6 linked regions of the Rattus norvegicus genome follow. The protein of the gene in region 1 interacts with the protein of each later gene in a pairwise test. Links are inferred from orthologs where the notes say so. Each region holds a gene or a part of one and is shown in the gene's direction. Other genes may lie near its edges. The genes, in order: Grb10, Gigyf2, Igf1r, Raf1, Gigyf1 and Egfr.

What was found.
Region 2: the proteins of Grb10 (region 1) and Gigyf2 interact in a two-hybrid assay, tested with the Homo sapiens proteins (2 studies listed by BioGRID). The link is inferred for Rattus norvegicus from reciprocal best matches to the Homo sapiens genes GRB10 and GIGYF2.
Region 3: the proteins of Grb10 (region 1) and Igf1r interact in a two-hybrid assay, tested with the Homo sapiens proteins (4 studies listed by BioGRID and IntAct). The link is inferred for Rattus norvegicus from reciprocal best matches to the Homo sapiens genes GRB10 and IGF1R.
Region 4: the proteins of Grb10 (region 1) and Raf1 interact in a two-hybrid assay, tested with the Homo sapiens proteins (2 studies listed by BioGRID). The link is inferred for Rattus norvegicus from reciprocal best matches to the Homo sapiens genes GRB10 and RAF1.
Region 5: the proteins of Grb10 (region 1) and Gigyf1 interact in a two-hybrid assay, tested with the Homo sapiens proteins (2 studies listed by BioGRID). The link is inferred for Rattus norvegicus from reciprocal best matches to the Homo sapiens genes GRB10 and GIGYF1.
Region 6: the proteins of Grb10 (region 1) and Egfr interact in binary tests that used the Homo sapiens proteins (3 or more experiments, as listed by UniProt). The link is inferred for Rattus norvegicus from reciprocal best matches to the Homo sapiens genes GRB10 and EGFR.

Annotation. Positions count from the first base shown.
Region 1 is NC_086032.1:90,722,388-90,725,887, reverse strand, and holds part of Grb10 (growth factor receptor-bound protein 10), read left to right. Parts: intron 1-1,735; coding exon 1,736-1,851; intron 1,852-2,078; coding exon 2,079-2,147; intron 2,148-2,475; coding exon 2,476-2,613; intron 2,614-3,202; coding exon 3,203-3,313; intron 3,314-3,500.
Region 2 is NC_086027.1:95,447,777-95,451,978, forward strand, and holds the start of Gigyf2 (GRB10 interacting GYF protein 2), read left to right. Parts: upstream 1-1,402; 5' UTR 1,403-1,465; intron 1,466-1,824; exon of another isoform or gene 1,825-2,030; intron 2,031-4,202. UniProt on the Homo sapiens protein: Key component of the 4EHP-GYF2 complex, a multiprotein complex that acts as a repressor of translation initiation. In the 4EHP-GYF2 complex, acts as a factor that bridges EIF4E2 to ZFP36/TTP, linking translation repression with mRNA decay.
Region 3 is NC_086019.1:130,958,803-130,962,796, forward strand, and holds the start of Igf1r (insulin-like growth factor 1 receptor isoform 1 precursor), read left to right. Parts: upstream 1-1,194; 5' UTR 1,195-2,149; coding exon 2,150-2,243; intron 2,244-3,994. UniProt on the Homo sapiens protein: Receptor tyrosine kinase which mediates actions of insulin-like growth factor 1 (IGF1). Binds IGF1 with high affinity and IGF2 and insulin (INS) with a lower affinity. The activated IGF1R is involved in cell growth and survival control.
Region 4 is NC_086022.1:150,410,014-150,414,058, reverse strand, and holds the start of Raf1 (RAF proto-oncogene serine/threonine-protein kinase), read left to right. Parts: upstream 1-1,245; 5' UTR 1,246-1,515; intron 1,516-1,759; exon of another isoform or gene 1,760-2,062; intron 2,063-4,045. UniProt on the Homo sapiens protein: Serine/threonine-protein kinase that acts as a regulatory link between the membrane-associated Ras GTPases and the MAPK/ERK cascade, and this critical regulatory link functions as a switch determining cell fate decisions including proliferation, differentiation, apoptosis, survival and oncogenic transformation.
Region 5 is NC_086030.1:24,802,365-24,805,582, reverse strand, and holds the end of Gigyf1 (GRB10-interacting GYF protein 1), read left to right. Parts: intron 1-61; coding exon 62-162; intron 163-449; coding exon 450-532; intron 533-613; coding exon 614-757; intron 758-835; coding exon 836-1,060; intron 1,061-1,296; coding exon 1,297-1,487; intron 1,488-1,581; coding exon 1,582-1,742; intron 1,743-1,823; coding exon 1,824-2,020; intron 2,021-2,088; coding exon 2,089-2,218; intron 2,219-2,306; coding exon 2,307-2,359; 3' UTR 2,360-2,718; downstream 2,719-3,218. UniProt on the Homo sapiens protein: May act cooperatively with GRB10 to regulate tyrosine kinase receptor signaling. May increase IGF1 receptor phosphorylation under IGF1 stimulation as well as phosphorylation of IRS1 and SHC1.
Region 6 is NC_086032.1:95,377,498-95,381,425, forward strand, and holds the start of Egfr (epidermal growth factor receptor isoform 1 precursor), read left to right. Parts: upstream 1-1,128; 5' UTR 1,129-1,367; coding exon 1,368-1,455; intron 1,456-3,928. UniProt on the Homo sapiens protein: Receptor tyrosine kinase binding ligands of the EGF family and activating several signaling cascades to convert extracellular cues into appropriate cellular responses.

The DNA of each region.
Region 1 (3,500 bases):
GCTAGCTTAGCAGTCACTGGTTACCTGAAACCACAGTGGGGCCCAGTTTCCCCTGCCTCTTTCCCCAGGCACCAAGCCCTCCCCTCTGTGTACGTGCAGTATGTGTGCAGCTCCCCCGGCCTCTCCCAGGCAGCTGCTGTTAGGGAGCAGAGCTGTACAGACCACAGCGTTGGTCTTGGCTAGGAAGCTCCCCACAGGGTCCCTGTGCCTCCGCAGATTCTTTGGAAAGCACACTTTTTGATTTAGAGCTAGCCACTGCATTCTTACTGGGGTGGCTGCTACCTCTCTGCTTTACTGTTTTTGAAATGGTGAAAATATTTTATTCTATAAAGCAACCACCTACAGGTTATTGGGTCGTTGAGTTCTGTTCTAAGTTTGTTTATAATATTTTCTCTGAGTAAAGCCCCTGATGGAATTCGCTGATGTGTTTTTGGACGAGAAAGTCTGTTTAAAATGAATGAACTTAAGCCTGGCTGTTTTCTTAAACCATGCATCAGTTTTTAGTCAATGTATGTGGTTGTTCGCATGCGTCTTGAGGAAATATAACCCTTGTATAAACACAAGCGTTCATGTGTTCCAGGGAGAATTCTCCCAGATAGAAATAAATGGAAACTATTCTAGGTTTGCCTCAAGCCTGGCTTTTCATGCCCTGTGACAGTTGTAGCTGCCAACGGGGACAGATTCTGCTTTTAAATATGTTTCTGCCAAGATGTCCCCTTCTTGCAGTATCAAAATGGAGGCTAAAGCTACTTCTGCCCAACTGCTCTTGGTAATGGGAGCAGTGCCCCATAGCCACAGTTCTCCTTTGTGAACAGAAATTCTTTCTCCCAATTCTGAGACCCTTTAAAGTGTCTTTTCCTAACCGTCTCCCTTCCTTCGAAGGTGAGATTTTTCTAGAGATTCAGCCATGGCTGCATGAGAGGCAGACAGTGGGGACTCAGGATAGAGCGCCTATGTTCACTTAAACTGTGAATGCCTGGCTGGCATCAGGTCACATGTGTAGCCTGGGGTGGACTTGTCAATAGTTTATCCTGTTGTTTGATGTGGTTAGTTCTGTGTCACTACCACCTCCACTATGGCTTTTCAGGAGCTTTGTGGGAGGACCTCTGATCTCCATTCCACAGAGAAAAGCACAGCTCGTCCAAACATGGTATTCGTGTCAGCAGGGAGCAGGCTGGACCCTTCCTTCATGCTCTCTTTACTGTAAAAGCAGAGGTTCAGAGAAGGGACTAAGCAGCCATTCTAGATCATAACGTAGGGTGTTCTGAGAGGAGTGAGTCATCTACCTAGTGAAGGCAAGAGGCAAACAGTCCAGCTGGAGCCTTCATCCCATGGCATGACCAGTGCTAACTAGCTAGGTATGAATGAGGAGTACATCCCACTGCTTGGTATCCACTGGTCTCCCAGTCTTACCACCTGTATGCCCTGTGGTCCTACCTGCCCTGCCTCCTGCTGTCTATGCCTATGTTCCTTTGCCTATAGTTTTGTAATATAAGAGTAGAAATCATTTGTGACTCTCTCATTAATGTTGTGTCAAGAAATCCCTGTAGGTACTAACCCAAACTTTGTGTTTTAGTGAATTTTCAGACCTCTTTTAGATACCTGTCAGAGAATTAGAGAGTTAAATTTAGTGTTCCTGACAGACTCCTCATCTCAGGACTTAAAAACAGCTTTTGACCTTGTGAGATTGCACTGAAGTCTCGTCACATCTTACATGTGATGCTTCTCCCTACAGAGAGGTGCCTGGAGGACCATGAGATCGTGGTCCAAGTGGAGAGCACCATGCCAAGTGAGAGTAAATTCTTATTCAGAAAGAACTATGCCAAGTACGAGTTCTTTAAGAACCCTGTGGTAAGTTTCCTGAAATCTTGGAATTTATACTTGGGTTGAATAAAACCTGATTATCAGATGATGAGCTGAGACTTACTGGGTACGTGGGTTTAGGAAGTGGGACACTATTTAATTAAACAGAATGAGGACTGTCATCTGCAATACAAGTGGGTCATGATCATACGTGGAGAAGTTTTACTATTGTCAGACATGCGTCCCTAATACCCTTGCTTCTCCCTGTCTCTCAGAACTTCTTTCCGGATCAGATGGTCACCTGGTGCCAGCAGTCCAACGGTGGCCAGGCCCAGCTTCTGCAGGTATTAAGCAAAATTCTTATTGCATTCATTCTTGCCGGAAGTTTGAAATAAGGAGCAGACTCCTGAAATCCTCCATCTTCTAAGGAAAGTAGCAACCTTATATCTACACTATAGTGGGAGCCATTTGCTTCTTTCTATGTCAACACCTACACAGAATTCTACACAATATCAGTTGGGATTTTAAGAAGTTTTAAGGAAGAAAATTTTGCCTAACCTTCCCCAAATATTTTAATGATTCCGAAAATGTCACCTATATGTAGTAATAAGATACGTGCTTTAATTGTTTTATGTGCATACCGCCTAATTGTAAAAGTGTATTCCTTCGCAGAATTTCCTGAACTCCAGCAGCTGCCCTGAGATCCAGGGGTTCTTGCAGGTGAAGGAGGTGGGACGCAAGTCTTGGAAGAAGCTGTATGTGTGCCTGCGCAGATCTGGCCTTTATTACTCCACCAAGGGGACTTCAAAGGTAAGTTTTAGAACTCCCCACCGCTCCCTGTACTAGGTGTTCTTGCTGTGGACTTGGGCTTAATTTTAAAAAAATCCTGAACCTCTTTTATGCTAGTGTTAACTAATTAATAAGCAATTTATATAAAACGGTACACGCAGGGACCCAGTGTATTGGTCTGTCAGAAATTGGATGGCATCACACACAGCAGCTCCTGTCCTCTAGGATGGTCGGCCCTGGATTCGATGGTCAACCCGCCTGTGGGTTGAACGCAGACCTTCCTGACTGACTCGGTCCACGCAAGGGTGCATTTAGTTTCCAGAATTTAGAATCTAGATCCAACCTGGCCATAGGATACGTGCTGGGTTGTTGTCCTGTATTCATAAAGCAAACTATGGTTTTCACTCTACTGGAGCAAATTTTAAGAATTGCATAGTTCGTGTGAGACAACCCGAGTCTGTTCTAGCAGAGCTGGTGTCTGAGCTCGTGCTGTTCAGATTCCACATCTTCTTTCAGTTCTGTGTGTGTGACCAGGGGAAAGGTGAGCTTTTAGCACTATAGATTTTTTTTCCAGAAACTGTGACCAGTTAACTTGACTGCTGTTTTGCAGGAACCCAGACACCTGCAGCTGCTGGCTGACCTCGAAGAAAGCAGCATCTTCTACCTGATTGCCGGAAAGAAGCAGTACAACGCACCCAATGAACACGGGATGTGCATCAAGGTACTCCATGGATGCAGTCCATGGGCTGGGGCTGGGAGCCGTGCAAAGGAGTTTTTCTCCTGGCCGGTATTTATTTGGTTGTGGATCCTTCTGCTCTAAACAGAAACTTTTTCTTTCCCTTTACACTGTCCTCATTGTGTGCTTAGGATGTGATGTTTTTCTTTTGTAATAGCCCGGGAGCTTGGGG
Region 2 (4,202 bases), on another chromosome or scaffold:
AATAACCTGAAGGACTTTGCTTAAGAGGTCAAAGCCTTATTTTGACTCACAGTTCAAGAGTACGGCCCGCCAAGGCGGGGAAGTCATGATGGCAGGAGGTTGAGGGGGCCGGCACATTGAGTCCGAGGTCAGGAAGTAGGATACAATGGATGCTCTGAATGCTTCTGTGCAGCTTGTTTTCTCCTTCCTATTCACGCCAGAATCCTAGCTCATGGAATGGTGTTTCCCCTTTTACCCACATAAATGAAGGTAATCTAGATAATCTCTCATAAATTTGCTCAGATATTTGTTTCCGTGGAGAATCCAAACCCCATCAAGTTGACAGTCAAGATTAATGATCACTCTCTAAATTTAATGCTCTTTTGTATAATTTGACTTTGAAAGGGAATCAAGACTTAGGAAGGGAGGCAGCCGAAGAAGTAGGTGTGTATATATGCTTCTGAGTGTTGAATTCAGGGCTCTCAACATGCTAGGTTGGGAGTCTTCCACTGTGTTCTGAAACTTAAGTTTTCAACATTTCCTTTTAAGATAAAGACATTTGGGTATATTTGAAAAAAAAGTTGATGGGAAGAACTGTGATAAAAGGGCTGTGATAAAAGGGCTGTTTTGCAGTGGTTGTGCGAAACCCTGAGTTGATTCCAAACACCAAAGGTGGTAGAAAGGCAGAAGACTAATGGCCCCAGAAAGACCCGACTTGAAATGGTAGGTGGACCAGGGTTAGCAAATTGAAGTATATAGTATGCCCAGCTAAATATGAGTTCCAGAAAGACAGCAGATACTTTGTCTTTTGAATTGCTGGGTTTCCTATTCATTATCTAGCAATCCTAAAACGGGAAGTCAGTATATATATAAAGGGGGTTGTAGGTCCGCATGTTGTGGGAGGGAGTAGGAACTTTAAAATCCTTCGCAGATGTCACTCCAGAATGAATTCCCACTCCTAACAGAAAGGACACTGCTTTGAATTTCAGCCTCACCATTTGCCCCTTGATGGACAAACTGTCAGGAAAACGCTAGACCAAAAGCTGTGGAAAAGTTCTAGCTTGGAAAACCAGCTCATAAGTGATGTGGAGATTTTTGTACTGCAAACGGGCACTGGATTGGGTGCCTCGGATAGTGAGTCATAGGGCCTCTGGCCAGGCTCCAATTAGGGACACCAGCTTAACTCTAGGGCCTTAGGAGATGCAGCCAAAGGCTCCACTGTGCGCCTGCGCTACTCCTGCCCCGCCCTCTCCCAGCCCTGCATCCGGGTCTCAGAAAGGGGCGTGTCCGAGTGGAGGGGGCGGGCCGTAGAGGAAGGGAAAGATGTCGTGGGAAGCTGGAGGGAGTGAGGCGGGGATGTAGGCGGGCCGAGGGGGCGGGTCGGCGCGCGGGGTCACGTGACGTGCGTGGCGACGTGTCGGCCATCTTGTGTTGTTGAGGCTGAGGATTGACTTGGGTTCTGAGAGACTCCTGTCCCGGACCGCAGGTAACCAGTGGCTCGGTGTGTCTCCCCTGTCCGCGGCCATCCCGCGCCCAGTCCCCGCCATAGCTCCCCGAGCTGCCGTGGCCTGGCGCCCACCGTCGCTTCCCCGCCGCTCCGGCCCGAGCCGGCCGCATGGACACACTCAGGCTGCCCGGCAGCGGCCGCGGCCGGATGGGGGCGTCAGACATGGGGACAGGGCAGGTGCGGGGTCCGCAGGAACCTCCTCCCTTGCGAGGGCCGTGGCCGGCCCGGGAGCTTCCCAGCTGAGCGCAGCCCCTTGCTTTCGCCCCCGTGGCATCGCGGGGGAAGCTGAGAGGAGGCGGGAGGCGGGGTGGGCAGTGTCAGGCCGGAGGGCTCGCCTTCCGCTGCCCGCTCCTCGGGGCCGGTCGCCCGCGCAGCCTCGGGGTCCTCCGGCTAACAGCTGCTGCGAGCCGACAGCTGCTCTTGCCGGCGCTCCTGCCCGCACCTGCCCGGGGGAGGTGCGCCCTTGCCGTCTCCACCGAGCATCTGGACTGGGGAAGACTGCTACCACGGCTGGAGGACTGGTCTGGAGCAGGCCCCAGGCGAGGTGGAGTCATGATCTGATCCTGGGACTGAGAGGCTTGGGAAAGTAGAGCCCGGGGCGGCTCCGGGGACCCGAATGTTCACACGGGCTTGAAATGGGCAAGCAGTTTCCCACGAAGCACTCTTGAACACTTGAGTTTTGTAGCTGAAATATCAATCAATCAATCCGGCAAGGAAGGGGAGGGTGTGAAAGAAGCAGGTTGTGTGACCGCGTTTGGGAGGCAGTAAGGTTGCTTTGCGTTTATCTAGTACTGTCTCCCGTCACCTCCCGTTTTCTTGAAAGTCAAAGCACTTAAACACATCCAGTGGCTCTATTAGGAAGGTAAGTACTCCAACATAACTTAAGAAATTAAGGGACTCGAATCAGTGATGGACTCGAATCAGTGATGGCTTCCCACCTAGTACCATATACCTTGGATTATAGAAAGTTATGGTTCAGGTACTGTAGTTTTCCTTATGTAGTTTCTCCTCTTTGGTAACAGATGACTTCCTAGATTATAAAGACGATTATCATACTTTTTGTACATGAGTTTTCATCCTCCTTTGTGGCTCTGACTGGCAGACTTTTTCTTTTTTGGTTAGAACACATACTTTGTCCTCATTTAATGATGCTTTCCTAGTGTAGCAGCTTTTGGATTGCTTGAACTGGAATATGTACTTCATTGTCACGTTAGAAGACACTAGAAAAACATTTAGAAGTGAGTGACATGTGTCAGGAAAAAAATACCAACATTGAGGGGCTAACAAAGATGATGTTAGTGATTTGCTAGAAAGGAAAAGACCATACCTTTTTTAGTACTTGACGAAGGTTTTTCCTGGCTGGGGAAGAAGACACTGTGCACTATCTGCTGCCATTCTTTTATTTTGGACTACAGGTACTACAGTGGTGTATGCTGAGGAACAAACATTTCTGTTTTTGTCGAGCTCACTTAATACTTAAGTAAAAATATACAAATACTTCTTGATGTAATGATGGGGCTATGTCCCTTAAACTGATTGAAAGTTGAAATCTGTAAGCTGAACATGCATTTAAAGATATCAGTCTGCTGCCCATTAATAACAGCAAAGCCTCCTATAGAATCTTGATTCTTTCCCCCTTATAATTGCATGGTTAGATTTTATGTGATTTTGTGATTCTCTGGTCCTAGCCAGCAATGCCAGGGAATATTGCACTGCATATTGCCAACTCAGGAAGCAATCATAATTCGAAATGTGAAGAATGATTTCTATGAGTCCATATTGTTTTTACCTCATAGTAATGTGCAAGCTCTTGTTAAGTCAGACATTTCTGTGCAGGGACCATCTGTTTAGGAGTAGTGAGGATGAAAGAGATAGGAAGACAGGAAGGGTTAATTTTTCAATTTAGTCTTGTGAGGAGACTTTACAGGTAAGATAAAATTTGAGGGAATACCTGATAGGTAGAGGGCAGGGTGCTTCACCAAGAGGCAGAAAAGGGCAAAGATCCTGAGACAAGAAGATAAAACTTAGGTGGGACCCATCAAGGGCTTGCTGGGAAGAGCACTGAGGCTATCTAGTCTGGAAAGACTGCAAGAAACGGATTGCAGTGTATCTACACAACTCTTTGGCAGGAAAATGAGGTGGGTCATTCAGTGCACTGGAGTCTTCAGAGGAGTCCATGTGCGTGTAATTCAGGCTGACCCAAACTTGCTCTTCTCTTGCCTCAGCCTCCCAAGTGTCTGAGATCTATGGAAAAGTCTTAGGAAAATCAGATTCTATAGACTTGAGTCACGATCCCTCCTTCCCATTCATTTGGGAAACTCAGGATGCTCATCTATATCAGGAATTATAATGAGTTACTTAAAAATAAGTTTGTAGGTGTGATTGCTGTTAGACTGCCTGGAAATACTTTTTAAAAAGGAATGACTTTTTGTTTGTTTGGTTTTGTTTTTTGATTTTTTTCAGACAAGGCTTGATGTAGCCTTGGCTGTCTTGGAACTTGTTCTAGACCAGGCTGGCCTCGAACTCCTGCCTCTGCCTCCTGAGTGCAGTGATTAAAGATGTTTGCCAACACTGCCAAGCAAGAAGTGGCTTTTTTTTCCCCCCAGAGCTGGGGACCAAACCCAGGGACTTGCGCTTGCTAGGCAAGCGCTCTACCACTGAGCTAAATCCCCAGCCCCAAGAAGTGGCTTTTAAAGAAGGTTATCTATCCCAACCT
Region 3 (3,994 bases), on another chromosome or scaffold:
GGGTTTCTGCAGTGGCCACCGATCCTTGGTGACGGCTACACATTCTTAAGATTGGGACCTGAGCCAGACGACGTTGTCCGGGTTAGGGTCCCCGTCCGCAATCCCCATCCTGGGAACCCCCCGGACACGCCCCCCAGCTGCGGGTTCCCGCAGCCCGACACGCGCTGCGGTCCTTCTCCGCAGCTGCCCACGTGGTGGAGCACCGACCAGCACGATGCGGTGGAGCGCCCTCAGGGCGGGAGAGGAATGGGGCTGGGAGGCCCCGCCAGCACGACCCAGCCGAGTCGGTCCCCGACTCGGGGCCCCCACATTTCCTCCCCGGGAGGGAGGGAGGCGACATTCCCCGGGCCAGCCCTCCCGGGCTGCCGCCGCGCCCTCTGGCGGCCGCCGCGGAGACGCGTCTTGGGCACGAGGGGCCGCCTGTCTGGGTCCCCTTTCCAGGGCTCGGGACCCGCGGTGGAATCGCGGTGCTTCGAGAACAGAGGCATGCGGACCGCACCCTGTCCGCTCTCTGTCAGCGCGTAAGCACCGGAATACCCAAGGAGCACCGCCACGGGCGCCCAAGCTTGGGGTGGAAAGTGCCTTGCGTAGCAGCAGTCTCTTCAGGGGTCCCCTTTCCCCCAGGTGTGCCCCTCCCGCCGCGTCCGGGCTTTCCACCACGCTGCGAAAAAATGCCGCATGCATGCACTTATTTATTTATTTTGCAACAGCTGCAAGAAACAATGAAGCTTTTTCACAGAGCGGGCCAGCGCGCTCACCAGCCGCGCTGTTGTTGTTTTCAATGAAGCTCCGGGGCCGCACTCCCCGCCCACCGCGCCCGCAGCCCGCCCGCCCTGCCGCCGCCCCCTTGGCCACCGAGTCCCGCCGGCGCCCGGGGCATTGTTTTTTAGAGTCCTGCGGGTGGGGAGGGTGCGGACAGGGCCGGCCGGCGCAGTGCGGGTGGGGGCGGAAGCGTGGGCGCGCGCGTGGCTCAGTGTGCGCGCGGGGGCCGGCGCGGGTGGAGGCGCGGGGGGCGGTGCCTCCTGGGCCCGGCTCCCCACGCCCGCGCTCCGCTCCACACGTCCCTGCGATCCCGAACTCCGGCTCTTGGCGACTGCCGAATCGGGGCCCGGCCCTCGGCGCGCCGGGACTGCGGCTGTAGCCGCTTGGAGTGTGCGCGCGGGCACGTGTGCGCGGCCCCGAGAGCGCGCGCGTAGAGCCCCCAGTGTGTGGCGGCGGCGGCGCGGTGAGGCTGAGGTTCTTGTTTACCAGCATTAACTCCGCTGAGCGGAAAAAAAGGAGGAGGGGGAACCGAGGAGGAGCGAGCGCACCGGGCGAACTCGAGAGAGGCGAGCGACAGGGAAGCCGCCAGCGAGCCTATCCCGGCGCGCCCGGCGCTCGCAGACCCTCGGCCCCGCTCCTTGGACCCTCCACGCCTCTCCCGTGCCTGCAAGAGCTCCACGGCACGCGGCGTGCTCGGCTTTGACCTTCAGCGAGCCGGAGCCCCCGCGCACGGAGTCGGCGGCGGGCGGGGGCCGACGCGGGGCGGCGGGAGCGCTGAGCGCTGCGCGGCCGCCGCTTTGTGTGTCCTGGATTTGGATTTGGGAAGGAGCTCGCGGCGGCGGCGCTGAGGGAGGAGGCGGCGGCGAGCGGAGCCCAGAGGAGGAGGAGGAGCCGGAGGAGGGGGAACCGCTCATTCATTTCCACTCAGCATTTCTGCCCCTCGCCGGCCTCGCCCGCGCCCGGGACTTCGGACCAGTCTCGCCAACTGCGTCGGGCTCTCCCGCCGCGTAGGCTCGGGTGGTCGTTCCCTCCGGGAATCGGGGGCGTTTGTCCCCGCCTGCGGCGATTTGGGCTTTGCTCCTCTTTCTGTACAGTTTTCCTCCCTCTTCTGCATCTCTGGGTTTGCAAATGGAGGCCGACGACACCGACAGCCCGCCCCGGCGCGCCCCGGCTTCCCTACTCCGCCGCCCCGTGGGCCGCTGCTGCCGGCGCTGAGGGGCCGCCCCGCGCCACCCTCCCTGTCCACGCCGCTTTCCGAGGATCTTCGCTCTTGTTTTTGGACGAGAGTGAGGACTGAGTTGAAGACTTTTTTCTTTTTTTTTTCTTTTCTTTTCTTTTCTTTTCTTTTTTTTTTTGAGAAAAGGGAATTTTGTCCCAAATAAAAGGAATGAAGTCTGGCTCCGGAGGAGGGTCCCCGACCTCGCTGTGGGGGCTCGTGTTTCTCTCCGCCGCGCTCTCGCTCTGGCCGACGAGTGGAGAAAGTGAGTATTTGCCCGCCGCCCGCGGCCACTGCGGGAACTTTTCCTCCGAGGGGCTGCGCCCTGTTTGGGAAAACCCAGTTGCCACGGGCGCAGCTGTCGGACTCCGGGGCTCGGGAGCGGAGGGTGGGGCTCTCCCGGAAGGCCAGAGCGGATCGGGGCCCGAGTTCACGGTTCAGGAGCTCCAAGAGCCTGAGTTCAGCGCATCTGCGCGCGGGAAGGGCCTCGGGGCTTTCTCTTTCGCTGTCCCAGGAGCGCTGTCCCGCACGCGGCCTGGTGGGTGGGCAGTGCCTCCTCCCTAGCGGGTCAGGGGCAGCCTACTCCTGGGCACTTGGTGGGGAAGTTGGCATCTGGGTGTCTCCGGGAGCCCCGCTGCCCTCGTCTCCCCCCTCCGGGGCGCGCCACTTGGCACCCCAGCGCCCATCCAGCGCTGCGCACCATGACAGCACCCTTGGAGGCTCCACGGGTGTGTCCTAGGGTAGACCGACCTAGTACTTCGTGTTGGCCAGCCAGAGCCTTCTGCCCCGCGGGGTGCAAGTTGTCCTTGAGGGGGAGGTACGGGATGGGGAAGCCTCGCGGCCCCAGGACACGTTTCCAAACATCACGGCGCGGCCTTATATCACCCAACTTGTTGGGCCCATCGGGCCCCTCTGGTTCTTGGCCTTTCGCATCTCTGGAACCTGTAGGTGTCTAGTCCCCACCTCTCCCAAGACTTGGTAACTTGGGCTTCCCGGTGTGGCCTTGGGGTGCGGGGTGTGCTCCCCAGCTTCCCCTAAGGAAGTGTGAGCTTAAAACTTTCATCAGACGCCTGTGTGTGTGTGTTGGGGGGGGGGGGGCTTGGATGATACCCAGCTTAGAGGTTCCTTGGGCTCTCAGTTTCTACCTCGCTCTGGACACTTTTCCCCAGAAGTGTCTTAGTAAGAGGAGTTAGAGACATCCACCCATGTGCAGAGTCGACGTGCATTTCCACACACACGTGCTCTCCGCGCGGATTTAGGTGCATCCACAGCCATACGACCACGAGGTGACAACTGGACTGGCAAGAGATGTGCGGTGGCTTGAGCTGCGACAGGATCTGTAGTATGGTAGTGGACGGGTGGTTGTTTTGTTTTGTGAACGCGGAGCCCTGGCCTTGGTTTTGTTGTGCCCAAAGTTGTGTTGCATTGCCAACCCCCCCCCCCCCCCCCCCCCCCCCCGCCCCGCACTTCCTTTGTACATACTTAATAAGCAGTATCGCTCCATGCTCGCTATCGCTTGCAATCTGATAGCTTTTGTTTTGGTGGTGTCGGGTAGGAGTAGGTGGTGGTGGTGGGGTGTCTCTGGGAATGAGAACTCTCCACAGTGTATGGGGGCAGCAGGAGGAGGAGGGGGTTTTGTTCTCGAGAAAAACAGTGGCATACTGGTACTTCAGAGATGGTAGAGTAATTTGAACGCGATTAAAACTTTAAATGCAGTCTCTTGAGTTGGGGCTGGGGAAGTGAGGGCGTGCGGATGAGTAATGTTTGCAGAATGTATGCAGGTGGTGCCTATTAACTTCGAAAAAATCACGACCTAGCCTTGAGGAGTTAGCAAGGGGGAAACGATGGAGGCTGCGCGGGCCGTGCGGCCCCACCACTGCCGTAGTTCACAAAGGCTGTTTCTATAAACAAACCCTGAGCCTCTTTTAAGAAATATCTACGATGGAGTCCGAGCAGGTCTTTAAAGAACTGTAGCTGTAGTAAGCCTAGTGTAAGGCGCAGACTAGGGCCGACCCC
Region 4 (4,045 bases), on another chromosome or scaffold:
AACTAAAGCTGTGGTTACACAACACTGTAAATGTACTAAATGTCAAGAGATGTTTACTTATAAATGGTTACTTAAAAAACTTGTATGTGTATTTGTAAATGCGGTTTGCAGGTTGAGCACGTAGCACTGGGTTCGAATCAAGGTCAGAGGATGACTTTCAGGAGTCTGTTCTCTCTTCCATCATGGCACCACCAGGTTTTACTCTGCAAACTTTTTACTGAGTCACCTTGCAGATACCAAATGGCTACTTTGAAAATACACAGAGGTAGAATGGGAGTCTGAGGTCAACCTCCAATTAAGAGGGAATCTGGCACATATCTTTAATTCCAGCACTCAGGAGGCAGAAACAGACCAATCTCTTTGGGTTCGAGGTCAGCCTGGTTTACAAAGTGAGTTCCAGGACAGACAGGGCTGTTAAACAAAGAAACCCTGTCTCGAAAAACCACAAATAAACAAAGAGATAAAAAAAATTGAGAACCTATTTCAAAGAGGGATTAAAAAAAAAAAAAGCACGTTGACAATGTCACATTGTCCTTTAGGTGTCTATTCCACTGGGGTTGTACGAAGGCTCACAACAGGCTTCAGTTTTCCGTGGGCCATATTGGCGCATCAATTTTATTTTTTTCTCCATCTTTATTAAATTGGGTATTACAGGGTCTCATGCAGCTCAGCATGGCTGTGAACTCCTGATCCTCTTGCCTTTACTTTCCAAGCGCTGGGATTACAGGTGTGCAACACCATACTTTTAGTTTTTGGTCAATCTGGTGTACTACAGTGAACCCTCGATCTGCAATACAAATGTGGAACCTGAGGTTTAATATAGTATGAGAGCTTTCCCGCAAAACCCGTAAGCCGCCATTCTCCATGGATGTCAACTTCGGAAGGAAGCACCAAAGCTGGGCCCTGGGCTGTGTGTCATCTGGCGCGTCTGGTCCTCGGAGGGCCTCGCGGGTGGCCGGACCGAGGCTGCAGCCCACTGCCGCTGGCCTCCGACCAGAAGCAGTCACTGTACCTCCACAGGTTGAGCCCCGAAATGGCGGCCACAGTACCGCGAGGGCCACGCCTCCAGAGGCGGGGCCAGATTCCAGGCCCGAGCGATAGATCCCCGAGCCAAGTTTTAAGCGGACAGCCGAGCTCAGGAGCTCGCGCAGAGGCAGTGAGTCCGCGGCGCCGCAGGTCGCCAAGACGAGTGTCGAGCGCAGGGCTAGCTCGCCGCCGCAGCCTGAGAGCGTCTTCATCGCGGGTGCTTGTTCCGCCATCTTAGATGGCGGGAGTTAGAACGGAGCGAGCTTGAAGCAGGAAGGCTTCTCTGCCGTTCTCCGCAGGCCCTCAGACGGGCCAGCTGGCCGAGCTTTGGGGCGCGTGCCCTGAGGCGCGGGGCGCTAGTGCAGCGATGCGGGGCCTTCCTGGGGCCCCGTCCCCCGGGCTGGGGACACGCCGAATGTAACCGCAACCCGTTCTCTCAACCACCGCTGTCGCTGCACTACGGGACCCGGTGCTGCCCGGCTCCCTCAGGTAGGCCGCAGGGCTGACGGTGCGGCCGCGGGGCGCAGGGTCCGCCAGGCCGCTGTCATCCTGGTGGCGGGTCGGGCGAGGGCTGGGTGTCATGGCCGGCGAGCCAGTTTCCACACCCCTGCTCAGATTTCCCAGTGTTTCTCGGAAATGTGCCAGCGCCACTCCGGTGCCCAGCGAGCATTCCTCATATTTTGGCAATGGGGAAAAAAAATCCTCCTAGAGCTGCCCAGTGTCTGGGTTGTCACTGGGATGGGCTCATTCTTTTTCTCTCGGGCCGCAGAAGTGGGGGGAGCCCGGCCTTGCACCTCCTCTCGGGCTGCTTCGCTTAAGTGACACCCTTTTAGGGAAGACGAGAAGAATCAGGGACGGCAGCGAGAAACGGGTCAGTGCCCCGTCACAAAGACGTGGGACCTCGCCCGGAGCTTCCAAATGGGAGGCCGGGGATGCTCGAGATTGGGAGCTGGACTGCCTTTTGTGTGAAGCGACAGCCTCCTAGGCTCTGCAGAGCCAGTGAAGGATGCAGAGTTGGGACACCACGGGAGGCGAGGTGGCCGTGTTCATTCATTGTTCTCTCTTTAGGGCCCAGGGTGTGCCTCTGGTTTTCATTCTTTGTTTGGAGGGACAGTCGGATCTCTTCTTTCCGGGTTGAGACGTGACCGGGTCTTGGGGAATGGGGCAGGTCTGTGTATAGAAGTGGGGAATGAATTCAGGGCACGTATGGATGCCTGCATTGCGTCCTGTGGGGTCTGTGGAGACTTAGCTCCCGGGGCGTGAAAACAATGCGCGGTGATAAGGCTTGTTTTCCCAAGTGTTCTTGGGATTTAGAACAGTTAGGTGCAGAATAGAGAAACCCAGAGGTTCCTTGCTTGCTTCTGCGCGGAGTTTGGAAGGACTGTTCGCTAGGTGAGGTAGCGGGGAGGACATTGTCAGCGGGGGAACAAACAGCTGGCACCAAGGCACAGGGGCGTAGCCTGCGGGAGTTAGGATGATTTTGGGGAGCAGTTAGTAAATATGGGGTGCAGGTAGGCGGACGGCAGGGTCTAAGAGGAAAATTGATAGTTGCGAAGGGTCTGTGTGATGGATAGTGAACTAGTTCGTTTGTTAATTAACTTCATGTTGTGAATTTTTAGTTCTTGCGGGTTGCTGCTTTGCTCCCCTCCCGCTATGGTAGTGAACAAGATTTACCTTGTTAAGTCTAGCTAACCAGTTTTGGTAATTGATAGGAAATGTTTAGTGCTTTTTCACTGGTTCCTCTTCAGAGATACTCTTGCAGCTTTTTCTAAGGTTATACCTGCCTTCAAAAATACTGAGGTCATAAACATATTCTTTACTAACTCCTGAGTTTTAAATCGCTGCTGACCACGTAAAAACACGTTCCCCAAACGTATAGAATTCGGCAGATTATAGAAAACACCTGGAAAAGTGTAGCATGAAAGTATTTTTTAATGAATCCTATTTATGTAGTAGACTTTTCTTTAGACTGAGTTCCCAGGTTGCAGCTTTGTTAAGTCTCCAGCCCCATGAACATTTTATTTTGTTATTCTAATAAAATAGCTAATTTGATTAAGGCTTATGCTGAAGTGGCTATTTAGAAGTGAAGAGACATCAGGGGCAGTTTCCAAATCTTTGGTATTGTGAACCACTGAAAAACACTGAGGTTCTTTTGATTTGTTTTTACTCTTATCACTTCAAGGGCTAAGTAAGCTGTTTAAAATCCAGCAGCAACATTTGACCTAGCTGAGACTGGATACTTGGAAAAATAAACCTGCTGATGTTTCTGTTCGAAGGCTTATCTTCAGGTCTGCAAGGCTGGGATTGTGCCCTGAAGTGGGATCAGGCAGCTTTGTTAAGGTCTTGTCAGTAGTTGAAAGGATCTTGTATGCCTGTGAAGTAGAGGCTTGACTGAAAGGCTTTTGAATGCATTTTAAGGGATTTGGCCCAGTAGTAAAAAGACTGAGAACCTTTCACTTATGACAAAAAGTATCCAAAAATTAAGAATGACACTGCATTACAGCTGCTCTGAACCCACTTGGTTTTGGCTTCAAGTCAATTTTCTCTGATGATTAAACTACTTGACAGTTTTAGGAAGTTAATTTGATATTTGCAGAAGCACTAAGTATTTTTAATGGAAATACAATGACTAACTTCAAATTGCTCTTTTAGAAAGTCTATTAGTGAATGTTTGATTATTTAATATTAAAATTCAGACAAAACTTCTTTACCTACCTGCTACCTAAAACCATGAGAGAATGCTTTGGCTTGCCCGTTAGCAACATGCCCCAATGTTGACTTGCAGATCAGAATTTAAATATTGTCTCTGAAAGACAGTGAACAAATATAACAGTGAGAGGGTTTATGAAACCATACAAATCAGGCTTCAACTTAAAATGTTGTTTTATTTTTCTAAAGTTGAAACTAGACCATAAAAAATCAGGGTCTCCCACTCTTGAAAAATCAGAAATGTTGGGTTCTGTTTTTCTTTCTTTCTTTTCTTTCTTTTTTTCTTCTGTTGGCTGGATCTCCCTGTTTA
Region 5 (3,218 bases), on another chromosome or scaffold:
AGGTAGAGGAGGGCAGGCCACAAGAGAACGGTATCCTGAGGACCAGTGGTTTGTTTCTCAGAGGTGGGGACCAGAACCTGCTCCCGACAATGAGCCGGTCCTTGTCGGTGCCAGATTCAGGCCCCCTCTGGGACTTACATACCTCAGCTTCATCACAGTCAGGTGAGTGGCCACCCTGCCCCAGTCCACCTCTTGTTCCCTTGTCTCCTCAAGTCTTTGCTGCTGCCCCCACTCTTGTCTGGCCTGCCCCACAGTGGCCCAGCCTCAGACACCCAGAGGGGCAGTGCCCACGCGCGCACAAGCTGCTGCAAAGGGCAGGAAGTCAGGGGGCTCTAAAATGGGACCCTGGACACCTAGGCAGGGAGGCTCATTTGGGGGCAGCTTCCTATCTGGGTGGGCCTGCTGGGCCTGGGTCTCTGCAGTTGCCCTTTCTTTCCTGCCTGCCACAGGTGGTGAGGCCAGTCTTTGGGACATACCAATTAACTCTTCGACTCAGGGTCCAATTCTAGAACAACTCCAGCTGCAACACAAAGTAAGTAGTAGCAGGCTGACCTGGCAAAGGCTGGCTGAGGCAGGGGCAGCCTCCCTGTTGCTTACGTCCCTGTCACCTCAGTTTCAAGAACGCAGAGAAGTGGAGCTCAGGGTGAAGCGGGAGGAGGAGGAGCGCAAACGCCGGGAGGAGAAGCGTCGCCAGCAGCAGCAGCAGGAGGAGCAGAAGCGGCGTCAGGAGGAGGAGGAGCTCTTTCGACGCAAGCAGGTTCAAGTCCTACCTGTCTCCTGGGCCTAGGCTGGGGCTGGAGCCAGTGGGCCACCCTCACCCACTGTCCCCACGCAGGTGCGGCAGCAGGAACTGTTGCTGAAGCTGCTACAGCAGCAGCAGGCGACGAATGTCCCTGTGCCCCCTGCACCCAGCTCCCCACCCCCACTCTGGGCTGGCCTAGCCAAGCAGGGCCTGTCCATGAAGACTCTGCTGGAGCTGCAGATGGAAAGTGAGCGCCAACTGCACAAGCAGCCGGCACCACGGGAGCCTCTGCGGGCCCAGGCCCCCAACCACCGAGTGGTGAGCACCTGCCCCAGGGAGCCCCTCTGCTGCAGCTCCAGGAGCACTGTGGTTGGGGGGAGGTGTCCCTGAGCTCAGACGCCTAGAGCTGAAGACCTCTTCCTTCCTTTCATTATTGGAAGGATGGCCCCTCTCCTAGTCTTCACCTCATCCCTCCCATTAGCCCCCAAATGAGCCTCCCTGCCTAGGTGTCCAGGGTCCCATTTTAGAGCCCCCTGACTTCCTGCCGTTTACAGCAACTTGGGGGCTTGGGCACTGCCCCTCTGAACCAGTGGGTGTCTGAGGCTGGGCCACTGTGGGGCGGGCCAGACAAGAGTGGGGGCAGCAGCAGTGGCAACCTGGGACTCTGGGAAGACACTCTCAAGAGTGGCGGGAGCCTGGCCCGAAGCCTGGGCCTAAAGAACAGTCGGAGCAGCCCGTCTCTCAGGTTGGTGAGACACCTGCTTAGCCCAGTTTGTCGGGGAATAAGGGATGCTAAGGTCTGGGCTCATCTGTGGCCTCCAATTCCCCACCTGCCTCAGTGACTCCTACAGCCACCTGTCAGGTCGACCTGTTCGCAAAAAGACCGAAGAGGAAGAGAAGTTGCTGAAGCTGCTACAGGGCATCCCTCGGCCCCAGGATGGCTTCACCCAATGGTGTGAGCAGATGCTGCACACTCTGAGCACCACAAGCAGCCTGGATGGTATGAGGTGCTCCTTGGCGGCCATGTTGGCACTAGGGACTCTAGACCTGTCCAGTACGCCTGACTGTCCCTTCTCCATAGTTCCCATGGCTGTAGCGATCCTCAAGGAGGTGGAGTCCCCTTATGATGTCCATGATTATATTCGTTCCTGCCTGGGGGACACGCTGGAAGCCAAAGAATTTGCCAAACAATTCCTGGAGCGGAGGGCCAAGCAGAAAGCCAGCCAACAGCGGCAGCAGCAACAGCAGCAGCAGCAGCAGCAGCAACAGCAGCAGCAGGTAGAGTCTCGTGGGACGTGGGAAGGCAGGACACCCCGGACTCTCCTGACTGTTCTCTCGTGCCTCAGGAGGCCTGGCTGAGCAGCAGCTCCCTACAGACAGCCTTTCAGGCCAACCACAGCACCAAACTGGGCCCTGGGGAGGGCAGCAAGGCCAAGAGGCGGGCGCTGATGCTTCACTCTGACCCCAGCATCTTGGGTAAGTGTCGGGTGGGACTGGGAAGCTGTACTTTCCCTGCACAGGTCAACAGGACCTGGTGAGCTCACCCTCACTCTCCCGGCTTCAGGGTACTCCCTGCACGGCCCTTCCGGTGAGATCGAGAGCGTGGATGACTACTGACCAGCCTGTCCCACCAGCCCCCTGGGCTCTACACTCGGGTGGCGGCAGCATAGACCTTTGGGTCTCCGGCCTGCAGGCTCCCAGCAAGGAGCAGAGGAGGAAGCAAGCGGGGCAGGGTCCCCAGCACTTGTTACAAACCACACGATGCACCTTAACTCACCCACCACGAGGCACTTTACAGATGGGGGAGGGGCTTTTTTTTCTCTTTAATTTTAAACCTTAGGAGAGACAAAAGTATCATTCAAAAGCTAGACGGTAGGCCCCTTCACCCCTTTGGGGATAATGGGTGTGACATTGGAAGGTCCACAGAGGTTTGGGGGTTCTTTTTGTTTTGTTTTGTTTTTATTTTTTATTTTTAGAAAAAAAGAAAAAATAATGAAAAAAAAGTTAGGCTGAAAGGAAAAAAAATCACACTGTTATTTTCGGCCAGTGGGTACCAGGCCCCATGGAACTGTCCTGGCTGGCTCCCCTGAGGCTGCACTTACTCTGCTGCCTGCCCCTAGAAGGTGGGTCATTGGGGTAACTGTCAGCTGGGTGCTGGCAGTCTGCACAGCGAGGCCCCTCCAGAAGCCCCACCCGCTGGACCAGCTGTGGTCCGCTTCCTGGGGCAGGTACCGTGGCAGGTGTCCTGGTCAGGGGCCATAGTCGCCCCTTGCCTCAGCTGCTTTGGGAGGAACGTTGCACAAATTGGATGAGCTGCCTCAGCTCCCTCTTCCCCAAGCCCCCTCAACAGCCCTCCCACACCGGCTGAGGGGAGCTGGGGAAAGACCTGTCAGTGCCAGCCTGTCAGGTAGGCTCTGAACTCAGGCCTGCTGAGGGGCTGCCCCCCACTGCTGCCATTCCGGGGGACAGCCGGGGT
Region 6 (3,928 bases), about 4.7 Mb from region 1:
ACTGGTTAACAAGGACTCCTGCTAACCAGGAGACCCACCCAAGGCGTCTAAATTAGGGGACCAGGTGATTTTGTGAAGAACTCGGAAATTCTGGATTGAATGGGAGCAGGGGACATTTCTCAGATGGCTAAGAAGCAGTGACATTAGTTGGTCTTTGCTTAAGGAATTTAGTTGCCGGTCGGTCTTGCAGTTCAGAGACACATTTCTACTGGCCAATTTCTAGGTGAACTTACCTGGCAATTTGCCTCCTGGTGTGTGTCAGGGCTAGCTTGGGTCACTGGAGGCTGCTAACTGCTCTAAAGATATGTCCACTGTTGTTTGTGTTAAGTCTTTGCGTTGAGCGAAGGAATTTGCCTGATGTGTACTCTGCTTTGCTTTTCAAGCCCTCCTGGCTGGTTCCAGGTGCAGAAAATGCCGTGGTTTTGCTCGTCAACATGCATGCACTCACCCAGCAAACATACTGAGGCCTTTCTCTGTGCCAGGAGTTGGCTACCCTTCTTTCAAAAGACATGGAGGGTTCTCGATGGGATCTGAAGAACCCTCAGACTTCTGAGTGCCACTTCAGACGTGCCGCTCCCACCTCTGCCCGAGCGGTTGGGAACTCTGCGGCCAAGTCAGTCTGACCTGCTGAGATCCCGCGGTCCAGAAGTTATGGAGAATAAGTGAACAGTGTCCCCATCTGTATTATTTCCAACCTGTGCTCTACGGTAGGACAGTAACCGAGGTGGTCTAGAGTTGTTCTCTATTTTTCTTGGAAGAAAGAAAAGAAGTAAGAAGTTGGGAGACACAGAGGAAAAGAGGGGACACTGACATAGATTTGACTGGGCTTCCTAGGTCCTGAAATGCAGCGCAGTGGAGTCCCCACTCAGAAATTAATCCCAAAGGCCACCCACTGCCCCTCTGCACGCAGCCAGGACTCTCTTCCAGAGCCTTGTCTAGTGGTGGCCAAGGCCATCCACCACCACCTTCCGGCCACTGCCTGCTTTCGATCCTCGCGGCGAGCGCTTCCTCTCTCCTGCCATTCTCCTCCTCCTAGTTTCTCTGGATCCCTCCTCCTCCACTTAGTCCCTCCTCCTCCCGCCCAACCTCCCCCACGTCCCGACCAGGGCTAGCTAGACGCCTGGACAGCCCCAGCGCAACGCTCAGCAGCCTCCCTCTTCTTCCCGCACTGTGCGCTCTTCCTGGGCTCGAGCGTCTGGAGCCAGTCCCGGAGGCTACCGCCACCAAGACAGGCGACGGGTCACCTGGACGCGAGTCTGAGTCCGGGTCCCGTCGTCGTTGCCGACGCAGTCACCGGGCACGACCGTGGGACTCAGTCTGACTCGGATTAATCCCGGAGAGCCAGAGCCAACGACTGCCGAGCCGGGATGCGACCCTCAGGGACTGCGAGAACCAAGCTACTGCTGCTGCTGGCTGCGCTCTGCGCCGCAGGTGGGGCGCTGGAGGAAAAGAAAGGTAAGGGCGTGTCCCACCGGCCCGCGCCCCCTTCGAGCGCGCTCGCCCAGTCCCAACCTCCGCTCTGGACTCCGCGTCCCCAGCTGCCCGCCCCTCCTCTTCTAACTCCCAAAGCGGCCGGGACCTTAGGAGGAACTGGACATTTAATGTCTGGAATGGACGAGACTGGGGCGGCTGAAGGAAGGGAGACCGGGCTTGGGGCAGAGGGGCTGCCAGAGCAGCGTGGGAGCCGAGGCTGTGCGCTCCGGAGCTCTCGGCTGCTGCCAACTTAGTTGCCTCACTTTTCTGCGCTCAGTAGGCGTTTGGAGTAGAAACGTGGTGGGGACAGCGCGGGACGCCGGGCATTGGCGCACGTGCGCCCAGTACTGTCAGGGAGAGCGGAGGGACCCCGGATCCGCAAGTGGGACCGGCATGTCCTACCCTCTCAGCCCGGGAGTTGAGGGACTGGAGTAAGAACCAACGCGCCTCTGACCAAGGTCGGGACCTCAGAGACGCGCGGTTTCCTGAGCGCACCCTCAACGCCTCTCTTCTCCGCCAGGGTTCTCTCGGGACCTGGTAGCCTGAGTCCCAATGTGGCTTGCAGATTTCTGCGTGCTCTTTCGCGGGTGTGTAGCTGCAGCAAATGTGGGAGATATCTCTGTCACTAACCACCTGGGACCTCTGAGAAAAGATGGTGGTGGTGACTTGCTTCTTCGCTAGGAACAAAATAAAAATAAAAGGGAGGGCGTGGGGTGGGGAGGTGGCGGGGGTGGGGGGTGGCGGGGGTGGGATGGGTCGATCCCGCCTCTTGGGCATAGAGCAAGCCAGAGACCTGCCAAGCTAGGTGCACTGGTTGGGGACCAAGGCTCCCTGCCAGATTTGAGCTAGTCTGGTGTGGTGGCTGCTTCCCCGGGATCCCTGAATTTGCCCCTTCTCAGAAGCCTGGGCTTCTGCAGCATCTCTTGGAGTTGCAATGGTATGGCTGACCTGTGACAGCTGGGTCCTTGTGTGTAGTTTATCCTTGGTGTTTCAAAATGAGGCCAGGTAGCAAACTCTCTTACTTGTTATCTGAGAAGCTCCCTCTTGGGCTTCTTTTTCTTTTCTTTCCTTTTTACTCCCTCCTTTTTGGAGTGATTGATATTGGGCCAACTAAAATAGAACCCCTAATTATAAAGAAACAGATTGATGTCCGTGGATCACATGTGCCAACTGCCCAGACTGAACACGAACAAGTCTGGCTTCATGACTACCCGACCATAAACCCACTTGACACGAGAAACATGCCTCAGAAGGTTTAATTGCACAATTCAAAATCCAGCCGCTCGGGTTCCAGGAGTCAGGTCTGCACTTGCTGTTGATGTCATCGGCATCCGAGTTGGACTTGGGGGTTGGTGCTCAGTGCACTTTAGTCGGAGGGGGTGTAAGGCTCAGTTCCCCAAACTTAGCTCCACAATGAAATCATTCGGGTTTAAAAATCAACAAGCAAAACAAACTACACCCCTCCTCCAGGGTTCAGCAGCCACTCCAGACGTTCAGATTTCACAGGTCTACCTTGAGAGGATTTTTAAAACTCTTATAGCGTTTGATTTGAGACTCACTGGCATAAACGAGAAATTGATAACATCTAAGGCTACCACGATGCTCCCCACTAGCAGGAGTCTGGGAAATCTTGCAGTACAGAAAAAAGCCTGGGTGAAGTGAGTAGACCGGGGCTTGCTTTGTTCACAGATGGGATCATTGTGAAGCTTTTCTCCTACCTTCCTCAGCTGAAGGAAGTCATGGCATCTGTGCCTGCCCGTGGGACTCCCTCCCCTAGTTTTCAGTTTGTCCCATTAGAGACCCCGTAGAGCACCACTTGTCTCACCTCAGCCCTGTGGTTCCCTGTTAACCGCTTTGAACACTGTTAGTGGTTGCAGATTTGTTTCTGGTGAGATAAAAAAAAATGCCGCTTCATTTGTCTGTCTGTACGGTATTCACTTAAAACCAAATGCTTCTGGGTAGAGCAGTAAAGGTGGCAAACCAAGTATTCATCTGTTCAAGTAACATAAAAGGCTCAGTTCTAAAGGCCAGAGTGTTGAAAACTTGAGACACCCTTTCTACAGCACGCTGATAAAGGATTTGTTTGTTTAACTGACCAGTTTTGTCCCAGGCTGGCTCCCATAAGTGAGGTAGGGGTTATCCTTCCCTCCAATCTGTGGTACCATCTATACTTGTCCTCAGAGCAGAAGGCAGTCAGACACTGCTTTACATGTATGTATTGTCAGTCCTTACACTGCATGTAGTGAGCGGCGGCTCTCATCATCTCTTTGAGGGAACGTATGCACAGAGAAGCGTAGTGATTTTTGCCCATAGCTAGTACAAAACGGTGCCAAGACTGACTCAAGTTCCTTTCACCCCCAAACCACTTCCTTACTGTAGGAGGGCCAGGCTAGGTTAGGTATATAAATGACCCAGTTTTGATGCTAGAAGGATAAGGACCAGGAAACATGCATTT